Linked DNA regions of Astyanax mexicanus. The protein of the gene in region 1 interacts with the protein of each later gene in a pairwise test. Links are inferred from orthologs where the notes say so. Each region holds a gene or a part of one and is shown on either strand. Other genes may lie near its edges. The genes, in order: lsm1 and psmb8a.

The links.
Region 2: the proteins of lsm1 (region 1) and psmb8a interact in binary tests that used the Homo sapiens proteins (3 or more experiments, as listed by UniProt). The link is inferred for Astyanax mexicanus from reciprocal best matches to the Homo sapiens genes LSM1 and PSMB8.

Annotation. Positions count from the first base shown.
Region 1 is NC_064419.1:32,066,282-32,076,038, forward strand, and holds lsm1 (U6 snRNA-associated Sm-like protein LSm1), read right to left. Parts: upstream 4,001-9,757; 5' UTR 3,884-4,000; coding exon 3,838-3,883; intron 3,217-3,837; coding exon 3,148-3,216; intron 2,663-3,147; coding exon 2,547-2,662; intron 1,936-2,546; coding exon 1,765-1,935; 3' UTR 1,382-1,764; downstream 1-1,381. Other genes in the region: bag4 (BAG family molecular chaperone regulator 4), read left to right, coding at 5,214-5,348, 6,763-6,888, 7,162-7,356, 7,526-7,792, 9,622-9,757. UniProt on the Homo sapiens protein: Plays a role in the degradation of histone mRNAs, the only eukaryotic mRNAs that are not polyadenylated. Probably also part of an LSm subunits-containing complex involved in the general process of mRNA degradation.
Region 2 is NC_064410.1:22,166,468-22,176,034, forward strand, and holds the start of psmb8a (proteasome subunit beta type-8), read left to right. Parts: upstream 1-5,610; 5' UTR 5,611-5,705; intron 5,706-6,027; 5' UTR 6,028-6,033; coding exon 6,034-6,174; intron 6,175-7,569; coding exon 7,570-7,711; intron 7,712-7,860; coding exon 7,861-7,972; intron 7,973-9,351; coding exon 9,352-9,481; intron 9,482-9,567. Other genes in the region: psmb12 (proteasome 20S subunit beta 12), read right to left, coding at 493-537; psmb13a (proteasome 20S subunit beta 13a), read left to right, coding at 780-841, 2,249-2,342, 2,550-2,647, 2,840-2,980, 3,388-3,503, 3,593-3,651, 3,796-3,947, 4,378-4,489. UniProt on the Homo sapiens protein: The proteasome is a multicatalytic proteinase complex which is characterized by its ability to cleave peptides with Arg, Phe, Tyr, Leu, and Glu adjacent to the leaving group at neutral or slightly basic pH.

The DNA.
Region 1 (9,757 bases):
ATGGCTCTAGTTTTACATTTTTTTTCCAGTGCAGTGGGCGGGGCCAAGTTACTGTTTCATTGGTTTATAAACTTGTTCATTGGCTGGTTCATGGTCTATTCTAATGAACAACAGCTCTCAAATAGTTGTGTGTGCAACAAAACATTTAGAAATAAAGAAAATACATGATGTCTGTTGTAATGGATGCAGGGCCTGAAATGGTTAAGAAATGTTGAGTACTACAACACTGAATTAATAAACACCACAATAGAAAGTAATTGTTTAAAACAGTTGCTTTTAATATTTTAAATAGAAACGTAAAATATATTTAATTGTAGCCAAATAATTTATTGTAGCCAAATAAAATAAACAGAGCAATTTGTTATATTAAAATTGAGAGATTATAATGTAAGAATGTGTTTAGCTATGTGTCAATTTAAATTTGGACTATTGACACAGTCAAGCTGCCAAGTAGTGTTAATTTATATTTAGCATCACTGTTTCCTTTACTGGCACAGGCTGCATCTTGTTTTTTCTTGTTTGTAGCAGCCTGGTAGCATTTATTTTGTTTTTAAATTCACAGTATATATTTTTTGCACCACTAGTAGCTTTGCTATTAGTTTGCCACGTTCTCCCCTTCACTGTTCTAAATGTTGCACCTTACTATTAGGTCTGATACAGCTTTTTATTTTAATAGCTTTAGCATTACTTATTTTAAAAGAAAATCTCTCAGACTTTGGGACCCCAAAACCTGCATGCCCTCTGTAAAATTAAAACACCATGTGCTACAAAAATCACACACACAACTCTTCAGGTAGAAAGTTGCTGCTTTCACTGCCATAACACAGTATTTCATTTTACTGAACACCACAAGTAGATGCTGGTGGTAGCACTTCCAGAGAACATTTTAAGACCGTGTTGTTTATCACTATGTATCCTTAACAGTCCCAAAGTCTGTTTTGGTTTTGTTTAGGTGTATCTGCATAATGTATTTGTGATGGGGCATTTAAAGCCAGTAAACTAGTTTGATACGATTTCATTCACCACCACTGTGAACAAGATTAAGTTTGGTACATTTCTCTAAAACATAACTTGTTTTCAGTATTTGGCGACACCATAAGGCAAATGAGGGAATTACACAGACACTGCAAGCTAGCAAGTAACGCTGGAGAAGTACTTGAAAAGTCACAACATAAGTGTGGAATTGAATGCTTCTCTTAAAATATTCTCAACCCAACATCATACAATTATAGAAAAGGTTAGTTTTATATATTTTGTTTTCATGTAAACTGGCTCCCCTTAAGGTAAGTAAAGAACTGGAAAGGTGGTTAATAAAATGCAATCAGGCAAGAACAGACTGCATTTCACAAATCATTTGTCGCACAAAGGAAACCACTCAATATTATTCAGTACAAAATAGGTTTAATAGAACAAAAATATCTTCAGTGCTGTTTAGCGTGATTTAACATAGCATACCAACATAAACGCCACCATAACATCACCTCAACGACACAAACACTGAGTTTAAGGTTCCATTATTCTTCTCTACAAAGTTCAAAATAAAAGCCAGCAGGCCAAGTGCTTCCGTTTGGTCCATCTTCAGTTTCAATACGGCACCATCGGCCGTAAAGGAAAAGATGGTAATGGTCACGCAGAGCATGACTTACATAAAAACAAAAACGGTCATGATCACAGTCTTCTGTGATGCATTCATTGAAGGTCACGTGTGTAATACTCACTAAAACTGAAAACAAAACAAGCAAAAAAAATTAACCTAAAGGCGTCTCAGAAATCATCCAATGTGTCTGCTTTAGGGATGGACAAGCCTCGCTCCTTTACTGCCTGTAGTTTCCGCTTCTCAGACTCCTGCTTTGCCTGCTGCTCCACCCGCTGCTCCTCCAGAATTTCCTCAATGGAAACTCTCTGAAGGATCTGATCACATTCTTTATCTAGGTCCTACAGAGCAGACAATAAACAAATCCAAACAGGAGAGTGTAGGTTAAATTCCAATAAAACATGCTTCTTAAATTCCCCTCATTCATAACACATCTCAGCTCTCCTCCTTACCCGTCCAATAAAATAGTATTATTCTACATCATGTTTATTGCACCCAGATCATAGTTGTGGGGAAAAAAAAAAAAAAAAAAGTGCGCACAATGCAGCCACACTGATTTGGTCAGTCCACCGTATTAAAAGGTTAAAGGTAAGCTCAACCCCTGGTACCAAAATAATTCCCAAATTTCCCACAGCAGGGTGTTAATATTTAACATTAACAAGTTTCTCTTATTTACCTTTTACATTTTAAATTTCCATTGAGTCCATGACTAGAATTAATCCTTGGCCAGGTATTTGGCCCTTAATGCAGGTACTGTGTTACACACCAAGGTACTATTCACACTATAGCCCTTCATTAGGTTGACTGATATTTCCCCAGCATTCTCTAAAGCCTGTCAATCCTAGCAACAACAAACAAGGCTTATGTTTAATACCATGACTCATTTTGCTTAATCTTATTTTAATGGAAACATTTCCAGAAAGAAAAATAAACAAAAACTGTGTAAACTTACTACTTCTCCAAGTAAGACAACATTTTCTCCTCTGACAACAAAGATCCCTCGGGGTATGTCTCCAAACTTCTTACCAACGTGGATACGTTCCACTGTTTGATGCAAAACTAAATTTGCTGTTAAAGAGAACAGAGATCAAATATTAACAACCTGTTAATGAATAACATACAACTGACAAGGATGGGCAGAACAATACTGATGCAAATAAACTTCAAATACTGACCGTGCTGCTAATGCAGTGAGATCATTTGTTATTCGGTAGTTAGCACCATGGCTTTATATTCTATGCACCCTCAAGCAGTTTTAAAATAGATGTACCATATAATATAGATCAGTGCATCCATGCTAAAGGCAGGTTACCACTTCATTGTGAAAGGGCATCGAATAAAAGTGAAGCATGGAACAACTTAAACGATGTCCAACTACTGCCAAGCACACCTAACGCCTCTTAATCCAACTCTGAGGAACTTTAGTAAGCTCATTTTAATGGGTGTCAGTTCAGTGGGAAACACTGGTGTACATATAAATATATTATACTGATCATACTGAGTGGTTCACTTGGATCTGTTATTTTACTTCACTGAACACTGGATCTACTTACCAAACTGATCTATACTTCTGAGGATCCCAATCAGTGTTCTCCCATCTCTGAGCAGAACAAGGTGCTTTTCTGGAAGAAAAACAAAAACAGATCAGACAGACAGAAAGCTTATTTGCTTAAAAGACATTTATACAGTTTCATGCAACAACAAAACTGGCAAAATAAGTCACACAAAACAGCCTTCCTTGGATTTGTTATGTCATCCTAAGAATTCATAAAGAGCTAGTTCAATGTTCGCCAGCTCCAGCTGTGTTATATTTAACTTTTAGCATTTTAGCAAGTCTATAAAGGTTTAATTTGCAAGTACTTAAGTGGTTGTAGTTGTTAGCGATCTAGCTAGCTATCTAATGGCCCAAACCCTGAAGACCACCTCCAGGTTCATCTTGGGAGGAATGAGGTGTAGAGAAAAAAAATACAATATGTATAAATTGTACACAGTTCGTGGTCAGAAACGCAAGATTAAACACACTTAGATTATCTTTAGCAGTAAGAAAGTTTAAGATAGCTAATTGCTTTAAATTTCCACTCCACCTTAAATAGGGCAGCAGGTACATTACTGTGCTAGCTGGACTCAGAATATAATCACTGCACCATTTAAGGTGGACCGAACAATTCCAATTACAACGCAGCTATTTGGAGTTCCAGCGGCTTTAGGCTGGGTAGTAAAGCCCAGCGGAGCTTTTAACTTACTGTCGATGTCCTCAATGAGGCTGGCGGTGCCTGGCATGTAATTCATCCTGCAGACATGCGGGGAGTTTAAAGCACAAAAAACCTAGAGACAGTGTGATATCAAACCTCCTGGCACCCAAACTAACTACAGCAGCAGCGCTCTTATAGCACAGCTTCCGGGGCACGCTCACCCCTTTAAAGGGCCCACTCGCATTTTATAAAACAAATCTTTTTACAAAAGATATGTTTTATATTCGTTTTTGAGATTTTTTTTGCAGTTTTATTTATATGTAATGTTAATTTAAACGCACCATGCATTTTTTTTTATCATTTATCTATAAGCTTAATAATTATTTTAATTATTATGCTTTTATTTTGTAGTGCTTTCTTCCCACGTATTTATTTATTAGAGATTTTATCTGTTATTTCCTTTGTAACTGTTATTTATTTATTTATTTATGTTCATTTACTATGTTTGTGATCTATTTCTGTTTAATCCTTTAGCTGTATTTTACATTTTGCTTCACTCCAACTGATTTGGAAGCTACCGTCTCAAGAACAAGGTTGTCAAAATACAGTAACTTTAACAATTAAATGTTGAATCAGAGCTTATGACAGAAATTATAGTTACAGATAAAAAATAAACAAACTAATTTTGATTTTACAAAATCATAATCATACATAAAATAAGATATCGTTTACTTTATAATATAGAACTCTCTAAAAAAAAAGAGTATCAATATATTTTGTATTTCAAATTTATAAATACATTTTGTACCCCTGACAAGGCACAGAAACATCTTAACATCTAAACATATCTCGAAATATCACGGAATAACAAATATATAATTTTAAGTATGTCATTTATCCTTGGGATTTGTATTATTTATGCAGAAAATATATTTTACAATATTTTATCCAATTAATTTTTTCAAAAGCAAAGAGTTATATTATATTTTTAATGCTTCGATTCGATTGATTAAAATACATATAAAGCAACGTACATTGTAACCCAGCTTGTGATTGGCTAGCTCGTTTTTGTGCACATTGTGATTGGCTAGATATTCCTGTCCCTATTTGTGATTGGCTGCTTGCTTTTTTCTGTGACAGTCAGCAGCACTTTGCTGTTATGCGTGAATATGTTTAATTAATTGAACTGTAGAGCTAAAGAAGGATATCAGTAACGCGCTTTTACAATAATTTTTGCCATAAAAAATATATATATGAATACGTTATAAGATTTAAATAAATATTTAATTGCTCAGGTCAGGCTACAGCACCGCGCAGATTCAGTCACACTGCAGCTACACCCGACACGATGGCGAGAATGATGGGTTAATGAATTAGTAATAATAAAAATAATCATATTAATACCAATAACGTGCTGTTAGCAGTGGATGGCCTACGACTCAGCCGGAGCGGAGAGAAGCGGGGAGGCGGCGTGGCTACTGCAACAGCAGCGGCACATGCAGCAGCCGAAAGCGGGCTGGAGCCCCGGGTACAACCCGGAGAGCAGCTGGAGCGGAGCGATGGTAAGAACCGGGGCTAGGCTAGGCTAAGCTAAGCTAAGCTAAACTACGCTAAGCTAAGCTGTGTTTGACACCAGTGTATCATTCATACAGAAGCAGCTTAACGTTTTATTTACATTTAATACAAATGCATCTTAATAATACACGGTTTTAATTCACTTTGTGTAAAAGTTTACGCAGCTGACTTTGAGCAAACTGTGCCGTCCTATTCAATTAGCTTTAGCATAGCATCTCTTACCAGCTATTGCCAGCACTTCAGTTACTAACCTTCACTTAAACTGTAGTAGCGTTGACATGTTAACCTAGTGTGTTTTCTATGTAGTTAGCTAGCTCACATAAATATACAACCCTGATTTACTTTGCAGAGAGATGTTCGTTTTATTGCCTAAGTTTGTAGTTTAGTTGAATAAGTTATCAGACCGGCCATTGCTGGCTTTGGTCAGCAAGTTGGTTATCTAGAGAAACAGGACTTATTGCGTAAAATTAGGTGGCCTTTATACAAGCAGTTAGCTATAGCTAGGTTTGCTAGTGTGTTTGGGTTGTTAATAAAAGTTGGATATCCTAAATTATCCCATTTTCTGCATAGCAGCGATATAATACTGTCAGAATTTACCAAATGTATCCCTACACTACTGGTAAAGTTGTAACCTAAGTGCACCTTATCTTCAGTGTTGGAGAACCAAAGCTTCCTGAGTGCTTCTGTTCTGTACTGAAATAATGCCTTTCAGATCTGATACCTATTTTTATTTCTATACAGTTAGCATAAAGAAACCTTTACTATGTCGGCTTCGTTGTTTTTTAATTGATTAAAACAGTCACACTTAAAATAAATTTCAATTCTTTACAGCAAATGTTGTCATAGAGCAGCTCTGCAGAGATCTGGGTCCAAAAGTGACTGCAGAATGAGTGGTCAAATAGTACTTTATTATTTCAATTTGTGCTTATTGTAAAAACAGGTCATGTATTATAAAAATCTGAGTAACTGCAGAACACATGCTAAATATTAGTACTGATGAAAGTGGTGTCCATAAGTCCTTAAAGGCTGAACAGTCCCATGCTGTCATGCAGAATCATCCTGCTGTGAAAGAATAATAGCCAGGGTTTAAAAGCAAAAAACAGGGAAAAGAGATAGCAGGAACAAAAATAACATCATAACAAACAAAGGAAAATTCGCAGAATATGGGAAATTGCCATGCAAGTAGTGGCATCAGCCTTAATGATGTACCAACATTGAGGAGAAAACAAGAGGCAGCTTATAATATGGGCTAGAGAAGGATAAACATATGTACAGTTAATGTAAAAGTAATGTTACAAAATAATTTGTATTATTTCTTCAATTCAGCCATATGGTGAACCACTAATATAGTGGTGACAACTACTATAGGACTAACATCATGTAATTTCTGCTTTACGGCAGGACTCTAATCCATATTGTGGCTATCCACCAAACTACTGGTACCCTCATTCGCATACTGCTGGACCGTATAGTAACACATACCCCTCTGGAGCAGAGGTCAATGGACAAGCACCGTACAATCCCCAGGTACAGTACCACATCTTCCTTCTTGTCTTAACACAGTGCTTAAAGTTTTTTTGCAGATTCACACTGGATAAAAAAAAATACACTGACTAATGCACTGATTAATACTGACATAAAATCATGCTACAATTATTGCCTTCATACTGTTAAAATTACACAGACTGCAGATTCATAGTAGATTAATTGTATTAGAGTAATACTAATTATATTAGAGTATTAAAGGTGTTTGGTATATATACTTTTTATGAAAATCAAACTGCTGTGCCTTTATTTCAGGCAATGTCAGGCTATCCCAATGGGGTGTACAATCCAGGACAGTACTCAGCCAATATGATGCACCCATCCAATCCGTTCTACTGCAGTGAGCAGATTCCTCCACGGCAACCACCTCAGTATCATAATCAGGGCTGCGCTGATCGGCCCGCGGGGAATTCTACTCAGCCTCCCTATGCTGTACCGCATTGCCAAGGGGTAGGTGATGATCCACTATTTAACCTTTTATGTTTGCTCATGTTTTTAGTGGTATCATTCGTTATATCGTATAGTAAAGGTCACAGCTTTTGATATGACTGGCCAGCTAAACACATACGTTTTTAAGGTTTAATAGTACAGCCTCTGTTCTTGTTCACTGTTCTTGCAGGGTCCTGGATATCCCCCTAATTCGTACCCACACTATGGAGATGGATGCCCCTCCAACCCTGGGTATCCCACCCAGCAGGCCATGCACTCAAGGCCCCAGCCTGAAGCCTGGCCCCATTCAGGCGGATATGGGCCAACACAGCCTCAACAGCAGTGGCAGCCTGGCACCCAGCCAGCTCACGGGCCATACGCTAACCATGCTAACCACGTCCGACCTCCACATCCTCCACCCTGGCAGGGGCCTGCGCCACCTCCATATGAACATAAGGTATCCAAGCTGTCTGTACATTAACTCGTCATTTTATAGCATTGATGGTCAGCAAAGAGTGGGTTTAGGTTCAGTTCTGGTCTGTGTGTCAAACTGACTAAAATCAGGCTCACAAATGTGAATTTTCTGAACCACAGAATGGAACTGTAGTATTGGAATGTATGTTTACTTGTGTGTTTGTGTCTCTGGTGCTTTTTTGTGAGCAACCATGATTTTTATGTTTAGCTTCTATTCTTGTTGCTTTACAGTAGTATCTTTAGGCTAGTTTGTTTCAAAGCTGTTTTGTTGTTTTGTATAGTAGGTGGTTGCTAAGGTGATGCTCAGTAGTTGTTTCGAAGGGTGGAGTTATGGCATCACAGATTGCTTCCAAGGGTGTTGCTACCATTTTTTTTACTGCTGTATGAAATAAGATGAACAAAGATTTTAATCTTGTTGCATGCACTGTGTTGTTTACCTTAGTTTTTTACAGATGTTATATGTTTTATTGATATGTTGTTTTATTTAATCAGGGAAAGGATAAAACACAAATGATTTGTCACCTCTATTTCTATTTTTCTGTTTTTGGTCAGACTGAGGGTTTCTAGAAATGATAAAGTGATGAATGTTGTGTTTCGAAATATCATCTTCATTAAAAGGAGGAAGAGTATAACTTTGCTAAACAGGGTTAAATAACTATTGAACATGTTACTGCTTCGGTTACCAAATATAGGTGCAAGCAGTGGTCACTTAAAACTGTTTTAAGTCAGAAAAATATAGTCAATTCATAAATAAAGGTACAATCATCACTTCAATACGTGTATCACCACAGTTAGGCCTAATTGCATGCTTTCCTCAAGACCATAAACTCCAACACACATGTTCTACACATCTAAACGTGTGGGCTAGCCAAAGATATCTTAGGTCAGATGAGGTGCTGTACTCAAGCAGAGAGTTCAGTACACAGTCTTTCAAGCCTTTCAAGTCCTTCTGTTTCTCTCTCACACACACACACGCGCACACACACAGGAATAGCTTAAAGGAACTCCAGCTTAAAGAAAGCACAGTCCATCTGACCCTCAGTGACACTGTAGTGTCCTAAAGCTGGTTATGTAATAGAACTCAGCTCTCCTATTGTAAAGCTTTACACTCTGATACTTAAAAGAAAGTCAACTGCAAATCAGTAAAAGTTAATACAGTGAGGGAGGAAAATGCACAAAAATAACTTAAAATGGAGAGTTTCTTACTTTTACAATTATTTAATTGCAAACTATATTAACCAAAGAGATTCCATGTATTGTTTGCTCAACTCAGTTTGCTTTGTTAATATACATCTATCCCTGCATTTCAGGCCTGCCATACATTTCAAAAAAGTTCAAACAGGTGTCATCAAATATCAATGATCCTTTATTGAAACATAGGCACTCTAAACTCTTTAAGACTTCCCCCTCAATTTGACTTACAAAAGTTACTTCTTTATTACTCCACATGATGGCGCTAATGAAATGAATAGGGTAAACCTGCACTGAAGAATATTGGTTGTTAAATTCTTTAAAACTGGCACCAATAAATATATTATTACTGGTATTTTATCCTGTTCAGTAACACAGTTACAACTTATTGCATAATGAATTATTCAGAAATAGTATAGTAGTATAGTCACCTAAAATGCAAAGATAAATCACAGTACCACCCCTAAAAATAAAAATAAATGATATATTCATCTCTGCCCACGTTAATTACATTTATTCTTGTTCATATATTTAGTATTAAAAAGTCATTGATATTTAAACAGTGCTCAGTAAAACATTTAAATAAAAAAGAATAAATGTTGTCTTCTCAAATTTACCCAGGAACCTCCATATCCCGGTCCGCCAGTGCATCCTCGAAACCAGGCTTCGGGCCCCAAACCTCGACCCAACACCCCAAACCCGAACCCGGGCCAGCCCAAACCTTCTGAGTACAGCGCCCCTCCTCAGATCTACAACA
Region 2 (9,567 bases), on another chromosome or scaffold:
TTAACTTAGTTTAGTATATATTTCTAATATTTAATGCATTAATTCGTTTTTTTGGACAATAAGAGTATAACTGTTTAATGCTGGAAAGTAAGTTGATAACAAATTAATCATGCCCTGCATCCCATTGTTTTCCCTCATCCCCCACGATGATGATATAACCTATAAAGCCTATAGCTTTCTAATCACAGTCGTTTGGCCTTCTGAATACAGAACTCAAAAAGTGGTGAAGGATGAAAGTGAAAGTAACTCTGAACACGGTTCGCAGCTTATTGCTAATTCACCCCTTAAACAAATAAAACATATTAAGAATTTCCCTTAATGTTAAGATATCGACTGTTTTGTTTTATTTTTACTTGATCCTTTTTGTTATTTGAAGCGTTTACCCTGATTAGCCTGTAGCTTCACCCGGATAAACCCGTACGTATTCTCTGACTGTTAATCACATATCTGAGCTGTAGGCGCTGTTTATAGGTCTCACTGAGCTGTACTTACACCTGTGCTGACTCCAGTATTCTGAGGGTTCGGGGGTCTGTCCATCGCTGAACGCTTGTGTCTAAAGGTGGTCGGACTGATCGAGCTTCAGCAGCAGCAGCAGCAGGACGGTTCTCTTTACTCCATTAATAAAGTAACAATTCCTGAAACATGCGCTCCCTCACGGTTAGATAAACAGCGCCACCGCTGGTCGCGCATGCGCAATTACAGCGAGTCAACCTCACACAGTCCTCCTGCTGCCTGTGAGACACAGCGAGCTGCCCGTAGCCCGGTTTCTCTCCGCGGACATGGCTCACCCGTACGTGTTCGAAGCGCCTCAGTCTGGGTTCAGTTTCGAGAACTCGACCCGGTAAGTTTAATTCAGTTTACTAGAACTCGAATCAATGATTTCAATGCCAAATGCGCAGTAACTTTAGATATGTATATTTATTTACATATATTTTTTAGAGTAGAGTGTGTGTACTGAGAGCTACACTCTCACCAAAAGCGAAAGTATTTTAATACGTATTTTAATTTTTTAATTCGACAAAAACGCGTTATTTAACCTCATATATTTCGCTTCACATGAAGTTTTCACAACAAACGAGGAAGTTTGTTATATTAGCTGCTTCTGAAACATAATACGGTGAAATCTTTTATTTTCGTTTGAGGAAGCATCGCATCGCTCTGAGGAGAGAGATACGCCGTGACCTGCCGTGACACGATCTGCAGCCGCGCTCATATAGCAAGCAGTTTTAGCCTTAAACTCAAACTACTGAGTCCTAATTCATCGCCAGATTACAGATGTCTGTGTATTAAACTCCCTGCTGTCGGAAAATTCTAGCAGGGACTAAAATTGAACACATACAGCCCTAAATAAGAGACCTCTTAAAAATTAGGAGTTTCTTTGATTTTACCAAATTGAAACCCTCTGGAAAACAATCAGGAGGAAGATGGATGATCACAGCCGTCAAACCAAGCTGAACTGCTTGATTTTTTTTGTACCAGGAGTGGCACAAAGTTATCCAAAAGCAGTGTGAAAGTGTGAAACTGCATTTAAAAAACAGTGTTATTTCACCAAATATTGATTTCTGAACTCTTAAAACTTTATGAATATGAACTTGTGTTCTTTGCATTATTTGAGGTCTGAAAGCTCTGTATCCTCTTTATTTTAGCCATTTATCATGTTCTGCAAATACATGCTCTAAATGACAATATTTTATTTGGAATTTGGGAGAAATGTTGTCCATAGTTTTTACCTATAAATAGCAAACTCAGAGAAAACTGATTCAGAAACTAAAGTGCCCCATTTAATTCTGAGCACTTCTTCATTAGAGGAGCACCTGACAGGGGACCTGTTCATGTTTACTCACCTTAACACCATACACCTATACATCCCATTTTTGTCCTAAATGATAGTAAATGGTTCTTTATCCTACAACAGCTTGCTATACATTATCCCTCTATAGCTTGATTTTCATATTTGTTTAGAAAAAAAACTACATTTTGACAGTGGTGATCTAACCATCAAAAAATTAGGAACCACTGTTTCAACATGATTGCCTCGTTATGTATCTGTATAATGTTGCCCAGAAGCAATAAATCAAAGAAAGCTCTTTTAGTAAGAAGATAAAGAAAACATAGCCACAACAATAAAAAAAAACATTAAAAGCACAATTCAATAATCAAAAGTGTGTTTTTTCGTAGCCTGTAAGCAACACCATGACATAATGTCTTAGGATTGTCAGCTACCTTATCATTTGCCTTTGTCTTTCAGAAATGTTTTATTGAACAATGTGCTTGGAGAACAGAAGACAAAGACACCTAAACCCATGAAGACTGGAACCACAATTGCAGGAGTGGTGTATAAGGTATGAAACATCAGAAGAGAGTTCAAAATGTAGGATTATTCAAATCATATTCTTTATATGTGATGTTTAATATTGGTTTCTATCTATCTATCTATCTATCTATCTATCTATCTATCTATCTATCTATCTATCTATCTATCTATCTATCTATCTATCTATCTATCTATCTATCTATCTATCTATCTATCTATCTATCTATGTATGTAGGATGGTGTGGTACTGGGAGCAGACACAAGGGCCACTTCCAGTGAAGTAGTCGCTGACAAAATGTGTGCCAAAATTCACTACATTGCTCCAAACATATAGTAAGTGGCACCTCCACTTGTAAAAAACATAACATTTTTCCTCAATATTACTCATAATTTAATGTTAGAAAGAGTGGTGTATCATAAAATTATCTAATTGTTTTTAAACCTTCTGACTGATTGTGTACACTACTCAGATTTCATACAGAAAAATATAAGAGGTTGCAACTGTCTGTTTTTTTATGTGTTTAGCTGCTGTGGAGCAGGGACTGCTGCAGACACAGAAAAAACTACAGACATGCTGTCATCCAACCTCACCATTTTCTCCTTGAACAGTGGCAGAAATCCTAGAGTGGTCATGGCAGCTAACATCATACAGGATATGCTCTTCAGGTTGACAAGCACATTCCATTTTCACTTTTTGAGATCTGATTTTACTTTCAGTGCCCTTTTACAAAGGGGGATTCTCTAGTCATGAAATTATTTGGTGGATGAGAATGTAATGTCTTGCATCTGCTGTAGTTTCTAAAAAAATATGAGATGCAGCAAACAATCTTTATAAATTTGTTTGTGGAACACATTCCATTTACACCTGTTTTTAATGTGGTTAAGATCCCTCTCTCCAAATGTGACTTGGTCATTCGTTCATATCACATTCTGGCTGTGGCTTCTCTTGCGATCAATTAAAATCTGCATGTGGTCCAACCAATAAAATGTATGTTAATGCAAGTGATAAAGTGATAAAAACTGACATTTATTGTTGCTTTTTTGTTTACTTTAATGTTGATGTCATATATCAGGTATCGAGGTGGGATTGGAGCGAATCTCATTTTGGGAGGGGTCGACTGCACTGGGAGTCACATCTACAATGTGGGGCCTTTTGGAAGCATGACCAAGGTTCCATTTATTGCAATGGGTAAGTTTATGACATCCAGAAGTCACATTCAAACATGTAATTTAATGATACTGCAGTTATTTGCTAATTCAATCAATGGTTGTGTTTAGGATCTGGAGATTTAGCTGCTATGGGTGTTCTGGAAGACAGGTTCAAACCCAGTCTGGAGGTACTTGGCTGTTTTAAAATAATCTGATTCTTCCTTATGTTCAATTTACTTCAGTCACAGACAACCTTAGTAATAAAAGGTATTTATAACACTGTACTGGCTTAAAATGAACCAACTCTCACATTGTTTCATCCTGTTTTCTAGCTTGAGGAGGCCAAGTTTTTAGTGCGCGATGCCATCCATGCAGGCATCATGAGTGACCTGGGTTCAGGAAACAACATTGACATCTGTGTCATCACCAGGGAAGGGGTGGACTACATAAGACCCTATAAGGAATCTGAATACACGAACAAGAGGTAAAAAAGGACATTTCAGTCAGGTTATGATCACATTATTACGCTGAAGTGACCTTTTTTTGCCTTATTGTGACACGTATAAGATTTTTTTAAGTTTTGTGGACATGTCAAATCTGACCTTTCAAAGATTTTAGTCAATTTTATAGGTATATTAGTTAATATGCTAGCAGTACCTTATTGGACTATTCAGTATTACTGTATTATGCACAGGCAAACAGCTGTACAAAGTGTAATCACCCTGCACTTTAGCAGTTTGTTGACAATAATTCTCTTTTTTTATTGTGTTATGTGATCGTCTGAAGGCTTAATATGGACTACACTGAATAAGGGTCTTAAAAAAGTCCTGCCTAGAGCTAATCAATTATTAGAAAAAATCTGAGTACTTGAGTGGGTAATATTTCCTTTTTGTTTGTTCCTCTCTCTCTCCCAGACAGGAAAAATATAAGTATAAACCAGGTACAACTCCTGTTTTGACAGAGAAGGTGGTTCGCTTGGAGCTGGAGCTTGTGCATGAGAATGTTCAAACAATGGAAACATCCTGAGCCAAACTCCTGTGCCCTCTGTTTTTGAAAATAAACTGGTGTCAGAAAGCACAAAAATCACATTTTCAGTTAGTTGTGAATATGATAATAAATAAATGACCAAATTAGACTTGTGTATGTTCTGTTTTGTTTTCATGGTTAAAGGAAAAATACAACCATGTTTGTGTTTATTGCAAGCTGACATTATGAGTGGTGTACAATACCAAAGTAAATGTAATCAGTTACTGTTTAAAAAAATATGTGTGAATTTACTGAAACATCTCTACCTTGGGTAACTTTTTACTTTACCTCTACTTCATTTTAAACCCAGATATTTTACTTTTTACTCCATTATGTAAAGTCTGTCATTACACTACAGGCTTATGTGTGCATAAAAACATTAGATTTTAAAACAAACTTAAAGGAAGCACACCAATCAGAGTACACTGTATGTTTTGCACTTGTTTTAACCTGTTGGACACCTAGCTATCCATCACACGCATACCGGGGAGCGCAACATCTGTGAAAAATGGTAAAAAGGTAAAAAGTGGGGGGTATGAATTGAGGACTTTTGCTTTTACTGAAATAACATTTTACCCTTGAGTATTACCACTTTAATTCAAGTACACGGTTTATGTGTTGTCAATATAAATTTTGTAATAAATCATTACTATATTTCAGAGGTTTTAAATTGGGCATATAGGGATTAGCTATCGTTTTAGCATCACATATTAATTTACACTTCCTTTGTTTTAATAAATAACCTAAGATTATTTATAAGATTATTACAGAAGAATGGAAAACTTTTCAAAAAGTTCTGAAAAACACTCAAAAACCCAATAAACATAAAAATTCTACACTTTATTCATATACTATTTTACTAATTGTTTAAATATAAGTCAATTTAATTTACCTGCATATTTTCACTGAATCGTTTAAAATCACACCACAGTTTCAGTATAGTATAAACTAGTTTTACTTGCATTGTATCATTTGTGTCACATGAGTGTTTCATAAAATAATTGCTAGTGTATAACTGAATAAGAATAGATTAAAAGATAAGAAAGGTATACAATTTGAGCAGGCAGGCTAGCAGGCTACATGAGCTGACACTTTAATAAACTACAGTTAATCTGCTGCAGCGCAACCTGTAGACGAGCTTTCTCCCTGTGAACTGATGACGCGCACAGACGAGCGCTCCTATTGGTCAGCCGGCTGTGGGGAACTCGTCAGGTAGGTGCGTGTCTTTTCTTTTCCGTATAAAAATTATTTTTTTTAACGTTAAAGTGAAAAACGTATAAAGCGAGTAAACATGAGAGTGTGTAAAATTATATAATTTTCAGAAAACCTTTAAAAATGTTTGTTAAAGCAGGAAAAATCGGCTAAAATCGAAACTAAAAAAACAGCATCCCTGAAACTTTCGGTTTCAGCTACAGATACGTTGTCTTCCTGTGATTGCTCACATTTCACCCGGTGAAAATCTGCTTTTCTCTTTTCGGGGCTAAAGCTTGTTTCAGGAAACACTAATAACTAATAATACCGTCTGCTGTTTTAAACAGAACAGCATGGCTCTAGCAGAAGTTAGTGGATATTCGTCCGTATCCGGATTTGGACTGTTTTCGAGGCAAGCTCACTTCGTGGACGGACCGAATCATTACTCTTTCGGGGTGAAATCACAAGAATTTGCCGTTCCTGTTGGAGTTGACGTAAGTAATGTGTAATAAATAACTGATGGATGATCGGCCAGTGGCCTGATTAATTCACCCTCAACTGCGTATCTACATGCATCCCTGTACAAGTACAAGTACGATTAAACTATAGCTTACTTAGAATACGTTACAGTTGAAGTGCTCATGTGGGACTAGTCACATGGATGGAGTGTGGTCTAGGTGGGATTCAGGTGGGCATGGGCTCTGATTGAATTTGTAGTCTACACATGTTGTTACTGTCTGGGACCCAGTTTGGCTTCCAAAATGTGCCTCATCATTACAGCCCACCTTAATCCCACAAGGCTCTGATCTAGGCCCCATGTGCAGTGCACAACTCAGATGGAGCCTATAATTTACCCTGTTAAAAATCCAGCTCAAGACCAGCTGGTCATCCAGTATAAAAACTCTATGCTAGTCAAGAGATAGGGTAAGTGTAATGATATCAGTGTAATGTTTATTCATTTATTTTTCAGACTGTAAAGGCTAAATGCAAAACATAGAAAATTGTACGTAAAACTTGTTTTTTATGTAGTGCAGTGTACAAGAAATAAGTTTTCATCCATTGTTCCCAATTTTAGGTTTTTCATTTCTGCACCTCACAATTGGATTTTCAGGAAAAATAAAAAAGGATCTTTTATTTATTTTCTGATTGTTCCATTTTTGTATTTTGCAAGAATACCCCCAAATTTGTGTTACAAGATACAAAAATGGACAAATCTGAAAATCAAGAGAAGATTCACTTTTTAATGTCTCTTGAAATTATTTTGCCAAAGGCTGAAATAAAAAACAATATGATAAAAAAATTGAATGAAAATCCATTTCTTCTTCACTCTGAATGGATAAAATAAAGATTACGTTTTTTTTACACAATTTTCTGTTTTTGAATTTAGCTTGATACAGTCAGAAAATTAAACTAAGTTTAACTCAGTGTGCTAAACAGTACACTGACCAGATGGCAAGCTGGTCTTGAGCTGGATCTTTTTAACACGTAACCCCTCCTGGTCCCATTACTGACCCTAATTGGGTTCCCATAGATGGAATGTGGTCTAGATAATTTTGGGGTGGGCATGGGCTCCGAGTGGGTTTGTAGCCTACATGTGTTGTTACTGGCACCCGGTTGGTCTTCCCAAAAGGAACCTGTTATCATGGTCCTATCACTAACTCTTGTTGGGGCCGTGCCACACGATTGACATTCATATGCGGTGCCAACATGGAAGCCGTAGACAAAACCTTTGTTGGTTCCCAGTTGGGGTACCCATACAGACCCAACATGGATATTTTAAGCTGCTCACTGACTTTAAAGTACACAGTGTTACTATAATAATAATAATTGTAAGTGGTATAAATCAAAAATGTTTGAACAGGCTCTAAAATCATCTTGTGTTTTTTCAGCCATCAACCTTTCTACAGTCATGCAGCTGTGAGGATGGCATATCAATTGACATGAACCATGGCACCACCACACTGGCTTTCAAGTTTCGCCATGGCGTCATCGTGGCAGTTGACTCTAGGGCTTCAGCTGGTAACTACATAGGTAAGTATACTCACATCACTTTACTTCACAAGTTACACAAAGTAAATCACATATTCACAGAATTAAAAAGTTATAGCATAATTGTAAATTACAATACCACACCCAGTCGTGTAATTTTTATACCATCCTATATGTTTTGTTTCTAATAGACACAAAGGAAGCAAATAAGGTGATTGAGATCAACCCTTACCTGCTGGGTACCATGTCCGGCAGTGCAGCAGACTGTCAGTACTGGGAAAGACTCCTGGCTAAAGAGTGCAGGTTTGTTCGAACTTGAATCGTTTGAGGATGGAGGGAGTGCACATATAAAGTTACCATCAACTGTGTGTGTGTATGTGTGCGCATGTGTGTGCATTTGTTGCCATGTCAGGAAATTTTGCCAGTCATCTCAACTCAGCAGATGCATCTATGCACCCAAAAGGAAAATCTTTTTCTTTACATAAGATAAAGTGCATTAAACATGCTATGGTGCTAATTTTCATGCAAAAAAAGTTATTCCTTATATCAACTAAATCATTCAATTAACCACATTCAGTTGATAGTTGGGTTCAATTTCCCTAACCACACCCAGGTACAATTTAATGACAGTGTTCGAATGCAAATACAGATGTAAACATTCCCAGAATGTATACAGTCTGCCAGTCGGGGAAGTGTTACAAAGCTAAGTCTTAAACTAGGTCTTTGGGAGTCATTATCCATGAATGGAGAAAATTCTGAACAGTGGTGAAACTTTTAATTTAGTGGGCAGCCTGTTAAACAAATTCAGCATGTGTGCATTGCCTACAAAAACATCTTAAGGATCTGCAGTCATTTTGTGCCTCAGTTACTATCAACGTACACAATTTTAGGATCTGTGGGATAATATTCTGTGGTGGTAGAATGTTTTGTAAGACATGGATCTTGATAAATCTGGTGGAAAGCTAACTCTGCATAAGAACATAATACCAATAGTCAGATTGTGATTTGCTTAAGCAAAGATGGGTTATGCAAAAGGACAATGATTCAAAGCATACAAGCAAGTCTATGGCCCAAAAAAAGAATTACGGTGTAGGAATGGCCAAGTCTTAAATGGACACATCGTGCCTGAAAACTCACCAGTGTAGTTGAATAAAAACAATATTGCAAAGACAAGCAAACTGAAATTCCTCAACATAAGTGATTGCAAACATTTGATTGCAGTTATTACTGCCAAGAGTGTCACAACCAGATGTTAGATGTATTTTTATGGGGACGATTTATTTTAAATATGGGTGATATGATTTAAAACCCTTATTGTGTGTTTAATTAGTTGGTTTAGTTGGATAAAAGGAAACATTTCAGTCTGACAAATAAAAAAAAGAATACTTTACTTTTCCATAGCACTTTATTAACACTGTTTTATTTTGACATAGAAATAAGGTGAAATGTCCAATAATGGAAAGCAAATAGATATGAGACGCTAACAAATTACTAATAAATAATTAAGATATCGGTAAAGTGTATTTGAACTAAATATGTCAAGTAAATTTTACTTACGATTAATTTAAATTGAAAAATTACCAGTATAGCTAATAAAAACACATTTTTTACTCCAACATAAATGACCAAAGCATAAGTGTTGCATTATGTGTGAGTGTTTTGTGTTTTGTTTGTGTCTTCAGGCTTTACCAGCTACGCAATGGTCAAAGGATCTCTGTGTCTGCAGCATCCAAGCTGCTGTCCAACATGATGATAGGTTATCGAGGGATGGGCCTCTCCATGGGTAGTATGATCTGTGGCTGGGACAAGAAGGTACAGCATTATATGTGTATATTTTTGAGATTTTATTTTTATTGATGAGCAATATATACATCTATGAGATATTTTTAAATGATGTC